Linked DNA regions of Drosophila melanogaster. The protein of the gene in region 1 interacts with the protein of each later gene in a pairwise test. Each region holds a gene or a part of one and is shown in the gene's direction. Other genes may lie near its edges.

The links. The genes of interacting proteins can lie anywhere in the genome.
Region 2: the proteins of grau (region 1) and CG7386 interact in a two-hybrid assay, tested with the Drosophila melanogaster proteins (one large-scale study listed by BioGRID).
Region 3: the proteins of grau (region 1) and NimC1 interact in a two-hybrid assay, tested with the Drosophila melanogaster proteins (one large-scale study listed by BioGRID).

The regions. Positions count from the first base shown.
Region 1 is NT_033778.4:21,008,904-21,014,344, reverse strand, and holds grau (grauzone), read left to right. Parts: upstream 1-2,423; 5' UTR 2,424-2,499; coding exon 2,500-2,622; intron 2,623-2,699; coding exon 2,700-3,466; intron 3,467-3,528; coding exon 3,529-3,738; intron 3,739-3,800; coding exon 3,801-4,176; intron 4,177-4,239; coding exon 4,240-4,476; 3' UTR 4,477-4,581; downstream 4,582-5,441. Other genes in the region: CG9346 (uncharacterized protein), read right to left, coding at 1-135, 190-432, 500-832, 900-943, 1,006-1,187, 1,248-1,666, 1,724-2,010, 2,067-2,183 and 1 more; CG30291 (uncharacterized protein), read left to right, coding at 4,847-4,852, 4,915-5,089, 5,141-5,441.
Region 2 is NT_037436.4:6,187,958-6,193,227, forward strand, and holds CG7386 (uncharacterized protein), read left to right. Parts: upstream 1-1,787; 5' UTR 1,788-1,856; coding exon 1,857-3,167; intron 3,168-3,225; coding exon 3,226-3,903; 3' UTR 3,904-4,092; downstream 4,093-5,270. Other genes in the region: D19A, read right to left, coding at 1-15, 77-1,022; Sf3b6 (splicing factor 3b subunit 6), read right to left, coding at 4,524-4,752, 4,819-4,937, 5,008-5,025.
Region 3 is NT_033779.5:13,971,980-13,978,142, reverse strand, and holds NimC1 (nimrod C1), read left to right. Parts: upstream 1-1,888; 5' UTR 1,889-1,946; coding exon 1,947-2,165; intron 2,166-2,263; coding exon 2,264-3,913; 3' UTR 3,914-4,985; downstream 4,986-6,163. Other genes in the region: Cyp28a5 (cytochrome P450 28a5), read right to left, coding at 36-140, 205-451, 596-783; He (hemese), read left to right, coding at 5,254-5,352, 5,532-5,903.

The DNA.
Region 1 (5,441 bases):
TAAATGGTCCATTCCTCCCATGTGCGGATAACATTGCAGACTCTGGATTTAAAGCCCTCAGCTTTCAATCTACTCTCGATGTTCAAGTAGTAGTTATGCAGGTTATCAAAGATGTCCAACAATTGTTTTTCCACACTAAATAATAGGGGATATTTCAATGTGTATGCTTTGATAAACATATATACATACGATTTACGGAAGAACGAAGCATTCGCAACTTTAACAGTGCAGTTGTGCAGTATATCTGAGATCAGATAAAGTCGAGCAATCTTCTTTGAAGCCAATGTATTGATATTTGACAGAGACTCGGCGATGCACTCGCAGATTTCATCAGCCGCATCTGCGTGCTCAATGCAGAAGATCATGGCATCTCCAATGCGGGCGCGTTCAGGAGTTAAGTGCCTAATCAAATCCTCGAGTCGGTTGCGTTGCCTATTTCAGTATACATTTACAGTACAGTAAACATTTATGTTTCGAGGATTATCTATGCTAAACGTACGCATTGGACAAGGCTCCTTTGTGCACCACAGGAGCATCGGGATCAACAACCAGCTCATCTGGCATGCCTTGAGTGTAGAAGTTGGCAATCGGGGGCTTCCAAACCGGTCCGTTTTTAAACATACGGAATTCCTCCTCCCGCCATTCATTGGGCGTATCGCCCTGTAGCAAAGAGAACAGCTTCCATCGGTAGTAGATGTGGGCAGGACTCTCGTTGTCGAAGAGGAACGCAAAGAGCGGATTCTCCATTTCCCGAATCATGATCAAAGCCTCAAACATCGGTCCCTCGCGTATTACAAACTCGATCATCCGATGGATAACATTAAGAACAGCCCTGGAAAAAAAGAAAAGCACAGTAACGTGAGTTCTTGTTAAGTGAATGTCCTTGGTGCAATTCATACTTCTCTGTGGGTATATGGACTTTAACGACGCATTTGGCAAGTATCTACAAAATTGAACATTTTCATTTTTATTTCTTTAGACGCTAGCAGGTGATTATTCACTTACCCGCTCCATATTCTCTTTGTCCTCTTGGTTGAACTCCTTGTAGTTTTTCTTGGGCAGCACATCAGCTTCACTGGGTGGAGGTTGGGCATTGAAGGGCAATCCTGAAGGAGGCGGAGGCAGGGTCATCTCAAGCAATGCTTGCGGTGTAAAAATGGGCGTATTCATTATGGGCACAGTCTTTCCTGAAATATTAAGTAAGATGTATGAGGAATAAGAACTTCAATATAAGATCTATAGATTACCCCATCCTAGACGCATCTCGTAGCCCATGATGTAGCGCCCGTTCAGTGTCTTTAGGGCCCTTTCCGCATCCTTGCGGCTCATGTAGGCCACAAAGCCGCAATTGCGTCCCCTTTGCTTCTCCTCTTCGGAGCGGGGCCACATGATCTTGATACTGGCCAAGGGACCGTATCGCCCAAAGATTTCCATAAGCTGCTGCTCGGATATCTTGGGGTTCAGGTTGCCCAGGTACAGGTTTGTGGTATTTGGATCGCCCGTGTCAAACGAACCAGACTCCTTTGAGCTGCTTGAGTTCTGGGAGGTGGTGGAGACACTGCTGCTGGGCACAGGAGCAGCTGATGCAGCCGGTTGCTGTGCTGGTGCGGAATGGCTTGAGGCCATGTGCTTGTACTTGTGGCGCTCCTCACGCTCCTCTTGAATCCTGTGGGCATGAAACAATTAGTATGGAATACACACATGCACAACCAAGTGGGCCTACTGTCTCAATTCCTCCTTGAACAGCTCCAAGTTGCTCTTTTTCTTCTCCTGGTTTTTCTTCTTCAATGGACCCGAGTCCTTTTTGAGATCCGAGGCCAGGGTCTTGGCGTAATCCTCGACCTTGTCCGAGGAGCTCTTTTCCATCAGCTTGGAGACCGGCTTGTATAGCTTGCCCTTCTCCGACTTGTCCTCCCGCCGGGATCCTGCATCATAGGTGCCGGCTTTGACCCAAACTTTCGAGGAGGGGGTGGGTGCATCTTGGAAAGTCTCTACGAACTCTTTGAAGGCCTAAAAATCGTATTGGATTATAATGCGTGGAGGAGGGATTTGCTAGAGGCGCCTACATGTGCCGCAGCAGCTGCATCCTCCTTTTTTTTCTGGTCCTCGAGCTCTTTTTTGGACAATTGTCGTTTGGAGAAGGTGCCCACCGTGAAGGCCTCCAACTTCTTTTCGCTTATCCGCTGAAAACAAGACCGAAAAATGTTAGGCTCGTTTTTCCGGCTACACAGGACACCTTTACTTTTAAAGTGGCGGATGCGGCAGCCGAATCCTTGCTTTTATTCCCTTGTTTACTCATCTTTTCCACACAATATGCACATTATCAGCAAATACGAAAATAGGAAAACCAACAATTTGCCAGTGTGACCGACGTCGTACAACCAGTGCACAGAATGAACAGCGAACAAATCACGATGCAGCCGATAGTTGCGATGGGAGTTATCGACAGAGCTATGTAAATGACTACTTTTTATTATAGTTTTATCAAATAAATGCGAAATGGATATCTGCCGCCTCTGTTTACGCGGAGTGAGCGGCGCCCAGATGTGTCTACAGATCTTCGATGTGGACTCGGGCGAGAGCAAGGTGGCGGAGGTGCTGCGCCAACATTTCTGGTTCGAGGTAAGCTGCTGCCCTCCACCCACTTTTGTGCCTGGGAATCTTTTTTTACCACCATCTCGTCTCCGGAACGCGTACAGGTACTGCCCAACGACGAGATATCCAAGGTTATTTGCAACGTCTGCTGGACGCAGGTGTCCGAGTTCCATCAGTTCTACGTGTCCATACAGGAGGCCCAGGTGATATACGCCACCACCTCCAAGTTCAAGCAGGATCCGGAGATGGTGAACACCTCCTGGCCGGAGGAGGTGCTCATGCCGGCCGACGTCCTTGCCGTCGACAACGATGTCGGTGCGCAGATAAATGTGAATCCCCTGGACGAGTTAGACCTTAGCCAACCCATGTCCCCGGAAGACAGCAAGGTGGGCATCAAAACAGAGCGACAGTCACCCGACATGGAACTCCTCTTTGAGGATGCCAACAATGAACAGGATGAGGACTACGAGGACGACGAGGATGATGACACCGACGACCTGATCGTGACCCGGAGTGGACGCAAACGTAAACGGGACGTGGCCAAGCCGGCTAAAACGAAAAGAGGAACGGTGTCGGTGGGCAGAAAGGGGAAGGAGAAGATGGTGGTCAAGCGGGGACCGCCCAAGAGGATATTCAAGATGGAACGCCTGCCGCCGTTTTGCAAAGAGGACGAGGAACTGATCAAGCGCTACATAGTCATGGGCTGCGAGCTGTGCATATTCTTGGCCGAGGACTTCGACGGCATCCGCGAGCACTTCAAGGACAAGCATCCGGACGAGCGGCCCTACATCAAGTGCTGCGGACGCAAGCTCAACAAGCGCTGCCTCATCCAGGAGCATGCGAGGAGGCATGAGAATCCCGAGTACATCAAGTGGGTCTCTCTTACCCAAACCAATTCGAAGCGATTTGATAATTAGCTTTCCTTTCCGACAGATGCAAGGACTGCGGAAAGGTGTTCGCCAATTCCAGCGTATTGCGTGCCCACTGGCTGGTCCACCATGTTCCAGACGAGGAGTGCGACTTCCAGTGCGAGGACTGCGGCAAACGCTTCTCGCGACGCAACCTGCTCGAACTGCACAAGGGCTCCCATGTGCCCGTAAATGAGCGCAAGTTCATCTGCCCGCAGTGCCCCAAACACAATGCGTGAGCCTCGCCAGCTAAACGGCAGTGTTTCCAATGCTTATCGTTCTCCTTTCACACCACAGTTTTGCCACGGAGTACCACATGCAGGTCCATATCAGCATGCAGCACCGCAAGGCGGCCAATATCTGCCATGTGTGCGGCAAGAAGATCAAGGACAAGGCTGTCTTCGAAAAGCACGTTCGCCTGCACTTCGAGGAGAGCGGACCACGGATCAAGTGCCCGCGTCCTGACTGCGAGAGCTGGCTGAAGGACGAGGACAATCTTAAGCAGCATTTGAGGCGCCACAACGACGAGGGCAAGCTGTTTATCTGCTCAGAGTGTGGCAAGAGCTGCAAGAACTCCCGCGCGCTGATTGGTCATAAGCGCTACTCCCACTCGAATGTGATCTACACCTGCGAGCAGTGTGGCAAAACCTTCAAGAAGGACATCAGCCTTAAGGTTGGATAATACATATTACCCTTATTTATTTATGTGTTGTATTAAAGCGATTGATGTTTGCAGGAGCATATGGCGCAGCACACTGGCGAGCCACTCTACAAGTGTCCCTTCTGTCCCCGCACCTTCAACTCCAACGCCAACATGCACTCCCACAAGAAGAAAATGCATCCGGTGGAGTGGGACATCTGGCGAAAGACGAAGACCGGTAGCTCACAGAAGGTCCTGCCCAGCGCCCAAGTGGCGCAAATGTTCCGGGACGATGCCGATGTCGCAGCTATTGCCAATGACTATTCGGGTTAGGCCCGGAAATGCTTAAGGAAATCGATTTGCGGAAACCATTGCTTAGTTTTTGATTGACCTTTGTTTGAAAACAAAATATATGTATAATAGGAATTATTTGAAAGTACGAGCGGTTTGTTGTCATATTGGTGGGATTTTTGGCTATTTACATTTTAATTAAGTTTTTTGAATTTAAATGTTTCATTTAGCTACATTCAGAAATATTGTTTTTGAATTTAAAAAATTTACAGTGTGAATGTCTTGAATTTTTCAATTGGAAAAAAAAGGTATGATGGTTGAAGTATCCGCTTTGTTTATTACAGTAGACTGGTCACACTGCCAGCTGCTAAAATAATAGAAAACAGTCTGCGTGGACAAACATTTAATTAAAATGAATGTAAGCACTTTATTAACGAAATCTTTGGGAATATTTCGCTCATCAGCATTTTATTTGAGCAGGAGTCCGAGATCCCCATCGACATACACACGCTGAAGCTGCAGGACTGGCTGATCAGCCGCAGAATTGTGCCCAAGAATGTGCAGCAGGAGCTTAGGGAGATCCACAGGAAGATTAGCAACGCCCTGCAGGACATGCCCTCCAATGAGCAGCTGATCAAGCTGTTGGCCCGGACAAGTAGGTGCCCAGTGCCCAGAATGCCATCCCACTAATGTGTCCCACTTGCAGATATCAACTACTACCATGTGAAGGAGATCATTGAGATCCTCAAGCAGACGGAGAAGGACACCAAGAGCGTGTTCGGCACCTACGGCAGCCAGCGCATGAAGGACTGGCAAGAGATTAGCCGCCTGTACGAAAAGAATGCCACCTACCTGGCCGAAACGGCTCAGATTTTCGTGCGCAATGTGAACTACGAGATTCCCGGAGTGCGAAAGCAGATGGCCAGGCTGGAGCAGCAGGCGGACGAGACCCAGAAGCGAGCGCACGATCTGAACAAGCCCGAGAGCCAAATCCTGGCCGACCACTC
Region 2 (5,270 bases), on another chromosome or scaffold:
TGGCGGTAGTGAAACCTGTAAGGTGGGATTTCATAGAGATCGGATACTTATATTTATACTTAAGCCAGCGTTATACCTTTCTTGCAGGTCTCCACCTTGCATTGGAAGGGCAGCAGGTCGTTGTGGTACTTCATGTGCTCCTCGTAGCGGATGGCCTTCTTGAACTTCTGGTGGCAAATGTGGCAGTCGATGATGCGGTGCAGGTGGCGTTCCTCGATGGGAATGCGCTTCCTCTTCGGCTTGTCGCCCCGCGATGTGCCGTCTTCGGAGTCATCTGATTCGGAGGATGAGTCGCTCAACTCCTCCTCCTCTGGCGGAGGCGGTTTTATCTTTTTGGGCCGTCCCCGGGGCCTCGGCTTGGGTTTGTCTAGGTTGCTAAAACGGTCCTGCTGGGGTCCTGATCCGGTAGCTGGTCCCCTCATGCGCTGGGCCAGCGGAATGTCATCATCGCTGCTATTTGGCTCGAAGTCCAGATCGTGGTCGTTGTCATTGCCGCTCTCGATGGACGAATCGTCGTCGAACATCTTGACGGAAACGTTGCCCCCGTCATCCTCCTCCACCTTGGCCTCCTTCTCCACCTCCTCGGCCTCCTTGTCGACGTGCTCCAGCATCTTGAAGACATCCTCCTCGTTCTCGATTAGCTCCATCTTGTGGTTCAGCAGCGGGTCATAGTTGACGTGGTCCTCTTCCTCGGCCGGGTAGTCCTGCACGGCAACGTTGGGATCGAAGACGTCGAAGCTGCTCTGGCAGGCAAAGACATTGCTGGCCACCAGATCCTGGAACTTTTGCACGGAATCGACGCACTGTTTCTGAAAGTCGTGCAGCTCGTTCAGCTTGGTGTAGCACAGGGTGCACAGGTTCTTCGGGAATCCGTCGTTTTGCTCCACGGACAGGGATGTGCAGAAGCATAGCTTCTTCGAAAGTCCTGGAACCAGATACAAATCGTAGGCGGCGTCGTTCTGCAGGTGGTTCAGACAGATCCTGCACAGGCTGTGGATCGAGTACTGCCTGCCCTCGTTCATCTTGCTTTCAATCGCAATCGGCACTGCGGATCGGGGCGGTTTTCTATAGCTTTTTGCGTCTCTCTCCGGTCAGTAAGCAATAAAATAATATTGACACAGAAAAAATTGTATACTCGTCGACTGGCAATCGGGCGAGTGGGCAATAAGCAAGTACTTCTGCCAGCGAGTTACTCGTCCGAGTGCGTAGTTGTTTTGCGTTTCAGGGCTGGACAATCAATGTTTTTTCTTACCTTCTTATTTGCAATTCTAATTAGGTTGCAATATACAAAAAAAAAAAATATATATATATACAACTAATTTAATTAAATAGATATTGCTTGTATACTTCAAATAGTATTTCAGGGTTTTTTAAAAATATTTTGCAAACTGAGCACCATAGTAACAAAAACGAAACTGAACTTACAATATATAGATAATGGTATGTATATATAGAAAAAATATAAAACAAATTTTTTTGTATTAGTATGTATATATAAACATGTAAAACAAATTGCTTTTAATAATAAGCAACGACATTTGAAAATATACAAACTGGGCATCAAGAAAATTTGATACGAAAATGAACGTACAAGATTTCTGTATCGAAATAAAGTCAAAAATAAATAATAAATAAATGTATTTTAACTAGACGCATGCATGGTCTTGCTAAAAAGCACTTACATTAAAACAAGTTAATATAAAAATAAGAATCCAAGTATGCTGTTTACTTGCCACCCCACTACACCGTAATGGGTTAATGGCATAGCGAAACGGTCAGACTGCCTGTCACACTGGAACAAATTTGTTTAGAAGCTTCGATTGTTATCTGCCCGAGAATTGAGGGAAATGGGCACTATGGAGCTCAAGTACTCCGTCCAATCGCTTTGTCTCACCTGCCTTGTCCACCTGAAGCATGGTGCTGGACACGATCTCTTCGTGGTTCCAGATCTGTTCCAGAAGCTCAGGGCGTGCACTTCGTTTGATGCGGATCAAAACGACGGTTTCCCGAGAAACCTGTGCACCCAATGTTTCACCAAGCTGAACGACCTGCATGACTTCCGCGAACTGTGCGCAGAATCTATTAAACGTCTAAAGGAAATGATGACCAGCCAGAGGAATATGCCCATGGGTGTATTCGAATCTATAGCTGATGATTCTGAGGCACCTGAAAGGCCAGAGGAGCCGGCCAGTTTCGATCCGCTGCTGAATAACAAACTAGAGATGATTGACAACGAGGAGGATGTGTTCAAGTTGCTGGAAAAAGTTGACAAGGAACTAGAGGAGCATTCAAGGGACCAAAGCGAGGAGCACTTCTCCAGTGCAGAGCACAACGGACTGGAGGAGGAGAAAAAGGAGTCGGAAGGGTTCAACAGCGACGATGAGCAGGCCATGGGGCAGCGACGGATTGCGAACGACAAGCGTAAACTGTTTCGCCTTATGAGCTGTTCCATCTGCCAGCAAAAGTTCAAAAAGCAATCAAAGTTCGAGGAGCACATGAAGCACCACAATGACCTGTTGCCGTTTCAGTGTCAGGAGGAAAGCTGCCGAAAGGGCTTCACCACAGCCGGTGCACTGCGTTTGCACGTGGACTATGCGCACTCCAAGAAGGAGGATACGGTTCCCTGCACCGTGGAGGGCTGTCAATTGGTTTTTTCCCGTCTCCGGCTGCTGACCATTCACTTGAAAAAGGTTCACAACCAGGCGAGGGTTATTGCTCCGCGGGGTGAACAGTCTTGCAAGGAATGCGGCGTGGTGTTTCGTTGCCCGGTGGCTATGAAGAAGCACATGTACACGCACACGGGCGAAGAGCTTCCCTATCCGTGTACCATTTGCGGCAAGGGCTTTTACATCAATAGTGCCCTAAAGAATCATCTTCTCCGGCATGCTGGCATCAAGAACTACGTGTGTCAGTACTGCGGAGTGCGAAAGACCACCCGCCAGGAATGGAGTAAGCACATTCTGATCCACACCCAACGGAACCAGTTTAAGTGCCGCATCTGCGACTATGCCACCCACACGAAGCGGGTGCTAGAGAGCCATGTTAAGATCGTACATGAGAAAATCCGGAATTTTGCTTGCCAGTACTGTGGAAAGACGTTCGGGAAAGCATACGCCTGCAAAATACACGAGATGGCGCACACTGGTGAGAAGCGCTGCGAATGCAAGGTAAGGGAATTACCATTATACCCTTGTTACCAAAGTCTGATATATTTTCGCCTTGCAGGTTTGTGACAAAAAGTTCCTGCATTCGGAGAGTCTCAACAATCATCTGAAGATTCATGAGAAGAGCGTGGAAAGGGCTCTGGAAACTTATAAACAGGTGCAAGTAAATGGCGATGCCAGTGACACTCAAGTGGACTCACATCAGCTGCTGAAGGTTTACGCCGAATCCGTAGCCAGCATTCCTAAGAATCCCCGCCGCGTAGAGCAAGTTGATGTGGCCCTATTGGCAGGGACCGCAGTGAATCCCACAGACGAGATTCAGTTTGTGCAAAAGGAGGGTATGTACTTGTGTCCCAGCTGCAGTCAGGGATTCAAGAGCATAGGCAACATGAAGCGCCACTACAAGAGCGTCCACGAAAAAGTCAAGGACTTTGAGTGCCGTTTCTGCTCCCGTCGCTTTGCCAACTCGCAATCCGTGAAGCAACACGAGTGGATACACACTGGCGAAAAGCCCTTCGAGTGTAAGACGTGTGGCAATCGCTTTCGCCAGGTAGCGGCGCTCATCCGACACCAAAAAGTCCATGACGAAAAGCCGGCGAAGCCTCTGGGGGAGAGAAATGACCGTAAACAAAAGGTTGAGGCACTACGGCAGGAAATTGCGAAGGTCGCCAAGAAGGAGCTCAAGGATTTGAAGAACCAACTGGCACTGGAGAAGCAGCAAGACACATACGAAAAGTAATAGGCAGCGGCAGCTAGCCAAACTGGTCCTGACCTTAAGGAGGAACCCTAATCGCAGAATAGTTTACGATTACATAGGGCAAAAGACTTCCCATAATAGTGGGAATTTTTATTGTTGGTTAATATTTAACTATTACTTGTTATCCTATTTCTAAGTTGTTAAATAAACTTGACCCAAATGACACACTTTAGAATAACTACAAATGGTTTTGGACTAAAACTAGTTTTAAAAAAAATTGGTCATAAATCGAAACAAACGATTCTAGTTTTTCAATTTTTTTTTATTTTTACTTTCACTTGCTTGTTATTTTGATGAGAGAGTGTCTTAATGTCGTCAAATGATTGCAAACAGTCGGAACCGGGCGCAAATGTCTGCGTTCCGCGATATCCGGCCGTTTATATGATAGATGGAGTGATGGATGGATGATAATGATTAGATTCAAATGATACAAAATGCGATCAAAAAAATCTACAAGTAGATAGCAAAAATTTGGTATACACATAAGCAGAGCAAGAAGTTCCCTAAACAATGGAAAATGGTCGATGGAAGTGGGGGCGTCATCTGGTGGGGCCCAATGTCTGGCTATGCCCCATCACCGCCTGCCGCACCAAGTGTGGGTTCTAAGGAGCTTCAGGCGTCTTCAGATTGTACTTGGCCTTAATGTTGTTCAGTTCCTCCTGTTTCTTGTCCATGTCCACGCGCTTGAAGGCCTTGTTGGATTGGTAGTAGAGCACCACCAGATAGCGATTGCACACATTAAAACCCGATAAATGGTCACAGGCGTTCTTGGCATCGAAAATGTCCTCGTAGACGACAAAGGCGGTGCCACGCGTTTCCGGAGTGTTGCCTCTGCAAAAGATACACAAATTGATTGAGAGGATTCACGGCGAATAGCATTATCATCTTCAATCTTACACGCGTATCTGTCGAATGGCTCCAAATTTGCCGAATATGTCGTACATCTCGTCCGAGGTGATTTTGTACGGCAGGTTCCGCACGTACAATAGCCGATTCACCTCTGGCGGCAGGCGGATCTGCAAAAGAAATAGCACTTTTCACTCAATACATTTGCTTTGTGTGTGGAGCCGTAGGTTTTCTGCTCACATGGTTGCGCTTGTTCATGTCCGGTCGCTTCGGATGTTAAGCGGCGACAAGGCGAGAAACTTTCACTCGGCCTCGAGGAAAGTGTGTGGCGGCTTTGTCTGACCCGGGATGAATGTCCTGAAGCGTGGTCCTTTGTTTAAAATTAATGACTCCTCTGTCTGGCCTCAAACCCAAACAAAATTGAACAGGGTGGCGAATGTGGGCACTCTAAATGGCGAGAGTGTGGACGCATTTCGAGAGCCGTATCGAGTGTGACCGTGCAG
Region 3 (6,163 bases), on another chromosome or scaffold:
AATACGTACAACAGATAGTATAGATGGAATCTTACGTGCTTGGCATCGATGCCGTCTTTAGAACCCAGACGCAATTGCTTCTCCACCCACTCGGTCAACTTTTGGCACACCTTGTTTGTCACCGGATAGACTGTCTTTATCTGTAATTATGTATATTGGTTGGATCAGTACTTTTCGGGCTTGCCACTGGATGAACTGCCTCACCCGTCCCATCGTAAGACCAGGCGTTACGTCCGCCCTTCGAGTTTTCCACTTTTCGCCAGTTAACGAGAACGGATTGTTGGCGAAAATGAAATCGGTTTTCTCGTCAATATTCTTGGCGATCTCATTGTCGTGGAAGTTCTTAAAGTTGGACACAAAGACTCGACGCGCCAACGCGGGATTGATCACCAGCAGCTGTGGAGAGCGGCTGCCAAAAATGCCCACAGCATCGTACTTGTTCTTATACTGCCTGAATAAAATGATCGCATTAAATTCAAGTAAAGCGTAATTTTTTAAATGCGTTTTAAGAATGGTTCTTGGTTTCTTTGTGAAACAGTTGATGATCCATTGAATTTTGGTAGTTAATATAACCTTTCTAGCTGGGATAACTCACCTGTATATATCGTCTAGATCGTAGATTGCATGCCGCTTCATAGTAAACATGTTTGGATAGTTTCCGCACAATAGCTTTGGCTTGGGACCAGGAACGCCCCGTTTCCTCCAATAGTCATAGTTCCATACCAGCACGGCATACAGCAGGCCCACCACCAACGAAACCAGGGTCAAAGTAATCAGAACCATTTTCGATCGCTCTAAAATCTACGTCCACGCGCGACGAGTTCTAAACGGCGTCTGTTGTGGAATCAGATACTCTGCTCTATTTGTAGCTGCTCATTGAATTTGGGAGAGGTATTCAACAGTGTGGAATCACCGAGATACCTGAGTGAGTGCTCTGGGAGAGTAAACTACTCACACTTTCACCATAAACAGTTCTAACATATAAATGATAAGAGCTAATCATTATTGCAGGCGGTCGTCAATCGTCATATCAAGCAATTATTATTTATTTACGGTCTTGTTCTTTGTAGAAAAAAGCAATAACATTTGATGTTGCAACTCGACTAGCCGCAATGAAATTAACCATTTAGAATAAATTTAAGTATCTTTAGTAACCTAGGGCATATTTGAATGGCTGATGAAATATATACAGTAGTTGAAGGAAACATTATAGCGTTTGCTTCTGTCTTACATATTTTGCTTGCAATATTGGGATAAACAAATGCTCAGATAATCCCAAGCGGTTTATATGTATAGGTCTAGATTGTCGAGTCCTCAACGGATGTAGCTGATTTTGGAGCAACATGAAATATATAAATTTACATTTGCAGCTCAGTTGAATTTGAAACGTTGCGCCGAACTCATTTACATAGAGATCAAAGCTGAATTTTACAAGATTTCTGCTCTTTCCATAATGTCACACATCCAATGCCTTTGGGTGTGTCTGGGTTTTTTTATGCTACTCGTCGACTTCATTCAACCCATCGGCTTGAATGTTTGTAACCGATCGCAGGTGGTTACTTACAAGAGATATGTCGAAAGGAGTAGAGTGATACCATACCAGCATAGATCTTTCTGGAGTGGTTGGCAGACAAAATACCGCACCGAGTATTATACAGACGAAGAGGTAAATACAAAACTTTGAGTAAAATATAAATGGGGAACGGAACTAGTCTCCCTAAAGCTAATAATACAAATAATTATAAAATACTAAAAGATTCCTATGTACAAAGCAAACGAAGATATAGTGTGCTCGTTATCTGGAATTCATTAAAAATCCAAGAGAAAAGAACATTACATTAATTGAGGGTCCAGTTCTGTTTAATTCATCGGACAGACTGGTTGCTTTAAGATAGTGAATATATATATGGTATATACTTCAGGAAACGAATTGACTCGCATTACTCATGGATTTTACTGCATTTTCACTGCATTTTGTGTGTCTGTCATTGTCCTTTGGCACAAGTTTCGCCATTTTACGGCATGGCCTAAATGATTGCAGTCACCCGGAAAGCGTTCCGTATAACCGTAAGGTTCTTAAAAGTAAATTGGTTCCGTTTCAACAGTATTCATACTTTCATGGTTGGGTTACTAAGTACAGGCATCAATATGTCTATGAAGATGAGGTAATTCGAATTTGTACATAATTTATATTATTATTTATAGCTTTGGTAAGTGTGTAGTTAAAGTTTCCTTTAAAGAGGCTTTTTCTCCTGTTCTCTAGACTGCCTACAGGACCGTAATGAGACCCAGTTGCTGTGAGGGCTACGAAGGATCCGTTGAGAACTGCAAACCTGTCTGCAGACAACAGTGTCCTCAACATGGATTCTGCTCGTCCCCCAATACTTGCAGTTGCAATGCGGGCTACGGCGGTATCGACTGCCATCCCGTTTGCCCAACGGTATGTGGAAAAAACGAGTTTTGCGATCGCCCCGGAGTCTGTAGCTGCCAAAATGGCTACAAACGAACTTCTCCCAGCGACAATTGCCTTCCAGTTTGCGAAAAGGAATGTGGACACCATAGCTTTTGCTCGGAGCCCGGGAAATGCGAATGTGAACCTGGGTACGAGAAAGTGGGAAACGGCACCGTCTTTCCAGATGGATACAAGAACAATTCAAATGGCAATTGCTCGCCCATTTGCCCAAAGGATTGTGGCCAAAACAGCCGATGTGTGAGGCCAGGTGTGTGCGAGTGTGAAAATGGATATGCCGGTGACGACGGAGGCACCAATTGCCGACCCGTGTGCTCCACTTGCCCGGAGAACGGATTATGCTTGAGTCCCGGCGTTTGTGTCTGCAAGCCGGGCTACGTAATGAGAAATGATCTCTGCCAGCCGCATTGCGAAAAGTGCTCGGATAACGCACACTGCGTGGCGCCCAACCAATGCGAGTGCTTTCCGGGCTATGAGTCGTCGGGGGCGGACAAGAAGTGCGTACCCAAGTGCAGCAAGGGATGTACCAACGGCTTTTGCTTTGCACCGGAGACTTGTGTTTGCAGTATTGGCTATCAAATGGGTCCCAATCAAGTCTGTGAGCCAAAATGCAGCCTAAACTGTGTTCATGGCAAGTGCACCAGTCCAGAAACCTGTACCTGCGATCCGGGTTATCGCTTCAAGGACAACTCCCATCACGAATGCGATCCTATTTGCGACAGTGGCTGCAGCAACGGACACTGTGTGGCACCCAATTTTTGTATATGCCACGATGGCTATCAGCTCAATAGCACAAATCCTGTCACTTCTATGTGTCAGCCGATCTGCAAAGGCTGCCAATTCGGAGACTGTGTGGCACCGAATGTGTGCGAGTGCAACGTGGGCTATGAGAATATTAACGGACTATGCGAGTTACAAACCACGACGGACTCCTATGAATACAGCACCACAACTGTGGAGTTGCAATCATCAACTGTAGACCCTCAACTGCAGACATCAACCAGCGAGGTTCCGCACTCAAATTGCACTGCCGGTTGCATGTGCTGGATTGAATACGATGGGATGGGTACTTTCAATACAGCCAAGTGTGCCAAGATCTGTGTTGATCCCCAGGACAAGCCGTGCCTCAATTTGGACAATTGCCAATGCGATTTATCGAGTGGTCAACTGGTGTGCCAAGAGGATAGTGACATGGATTACAGCGGGGAGAATTCGCGATACGTTTGTCATATTTTGCCAGAGCAGGGGGCAAGATCAGAGGCTGAGGTACGGATTCCTGACCGAACTGGATCGTCTAACAAGTGGATGATTATCGTAGGCTCCTGCGCTGGAATGATCATTGGTGTGGCCGCCACAATCATTGGCATAAAGTACTATCGACGTTCTACCTCTAGGCGAAATTTTGAAGCCGAAGAAGCCATTGTTGAATGTGATTTTGAATAGTTTGAATCCACACAAAATCACTTATCCTTTCAAAATCGCTTGTAAAATTGTTAAATTACTTGAATTAAAAAATGTAATAACATGAAATAAATTTATAATAATAATTATAATAATTATTTGTTGGTAATGTCCTCAAGCTTAAAAGAATAACTGGACCATTTAGGTACGGAATGCAGGACTCACTATAAATGTAAGCAAATGTCAATTGTGCTTACTTAAAGTTGACTATCTAGGTTTCATCAAAAGAGGGTACTTTACAAGTACGAGATATATATTACGTCTAACTGTAATAGTTAAGAAGATTTATACGAATACTTTACGAGTACTGGAAAAGAAAACGCTGATACCAACCAGTCGTATCAGCGTTTCCTTTTTCAGTACTTGTCATATATGTATCTATTCCCATACAGAGTTTCTGTGTGGTTAATCAATCCAATAGATAAAACGCACGCTTTAATAAATCGTGATATCAAACATATATTTTGGCCAAACACTTCCTCCACACGGAGGAGCTTTCAATAGCTGTTGTAAAGGCAGAGTTTTTGTAATGCTCTAAAACTGTATAACTTTTCATAATAACAATACAATGCAAAAAAACCGGAAACTTGCAGTTTTATAAACTGATCAAATCCGTGAAGTATTGGTATGACAACCCCTTTGTTTTTCAATACCTTTCGTTTTGTGTTTGGAGTTTTAAGTTTGGACAACCACAGCAATTTTTTGTTTATTTACATTAAAATAGTTTGTTCATCACTATATAAGGGAAATTATTTCTTTTTAAAAAATTATTTTTGTATTAACCATTATCATTAGTTACAGGAAACGTTTGGAATGACACACAAAAGTGATTGAGTCATATTTACTACTAAATCATTGGAGGCCTGTTAAGCATACATACATACATATATAATATGTAATATTTAAAATATGTAAAATGTTCGCGGACTAATAAAACGACTGAGATCAACTGATTTGTAATCCTCATATTTTTTAGAATGAGAAAAAAGTTGTAAGTCAACCAAAACATACCACTCAATAAATTCATAAAATGAACTCGACGAGCTTAACGTTTAAAAGTGTATTTAAATCCTTTACTCACCTTTCTTTTTTTATAAAAAAGTAAGAAATAATTGTACAATTACTTCTTACTTTTATAAAGCCAATTAAATTAAAAATAAATACACTGGTTACATATTTTCCTCCTTATTGGATATACCCGAAAAGCTTTCATATAAAGGGTACTAATCTCGCTCCGCAGAAGGCAAGCGAAATTTTAAAGTTTAGTTCATTTTTTGGCACTCGGCGGAGCAGTTCACACTAAGTTTACATAAGTCACTAATATGCATAATTTTCAACTGACCGTCGTTTTCCTGGCACTGTTCACTTTTACCAGTTCCTTTGGATACCGTTCTGAACATCCGCACAGAAAACCAATACATGTACGTACTTTTTCTGTCTTTTAAAATCAATAACATTAAATACCCATGACAAAGGGTCAAATTGCATATGCAAATGACATACAAATATGTTAGTCTAAATATTACATATTTATAGGTATTTAATTAAAAAAATTTAATTTTAAAAACCAAGAATTATCATAATTTTTTGTTTTTGTCAGAGCAACCGTCCATCTCCAACTACTACAATGACAACAGATTCAACTTCAACTAGCTTTATGACAACAGATTCAACCCCAAGTGAAACGGAATCCACTTCGGATACATCTACTGAAGAAAGTACACAGATTTCTGACTTCACCGAAAGTTCAACCGAAAGTTCGACGACAGCAAAGATATTTTTAAAGGACAATGAGATTTCAAAACCAGAAAACAGCAACACTTTACTTATCAGTGTGTATGGCATTGTAATTACCTTGGCTATTTTAGTTGCTCTAATATACTGCATTCGACGCCATTATGGTTCATATTCTGTGAAAGAGCAATGCAAGCCCATTGAAAGTACCGCATATTTTAATAATATTAAATATTAAAATCATATTTAAATAATATTATCTAAAAACAAGGATTTAAATAATAACTTTCTTAAAAACAAATTTGCATCCACTAAGTATTAAAATAATTTTTGGCACGAATCTTAAAATATTTGAAATAAACATGACTCATTTATTTCCGACAAGCGCTTCAAATATTTTATTTCTACTTGTGCCGGATAAGAAGAATTTCAAAACAAAAACATTTGTTATATTTAAGCGATACGGAAGTAAGTAATCTCAGCTATTCGACATGTTTT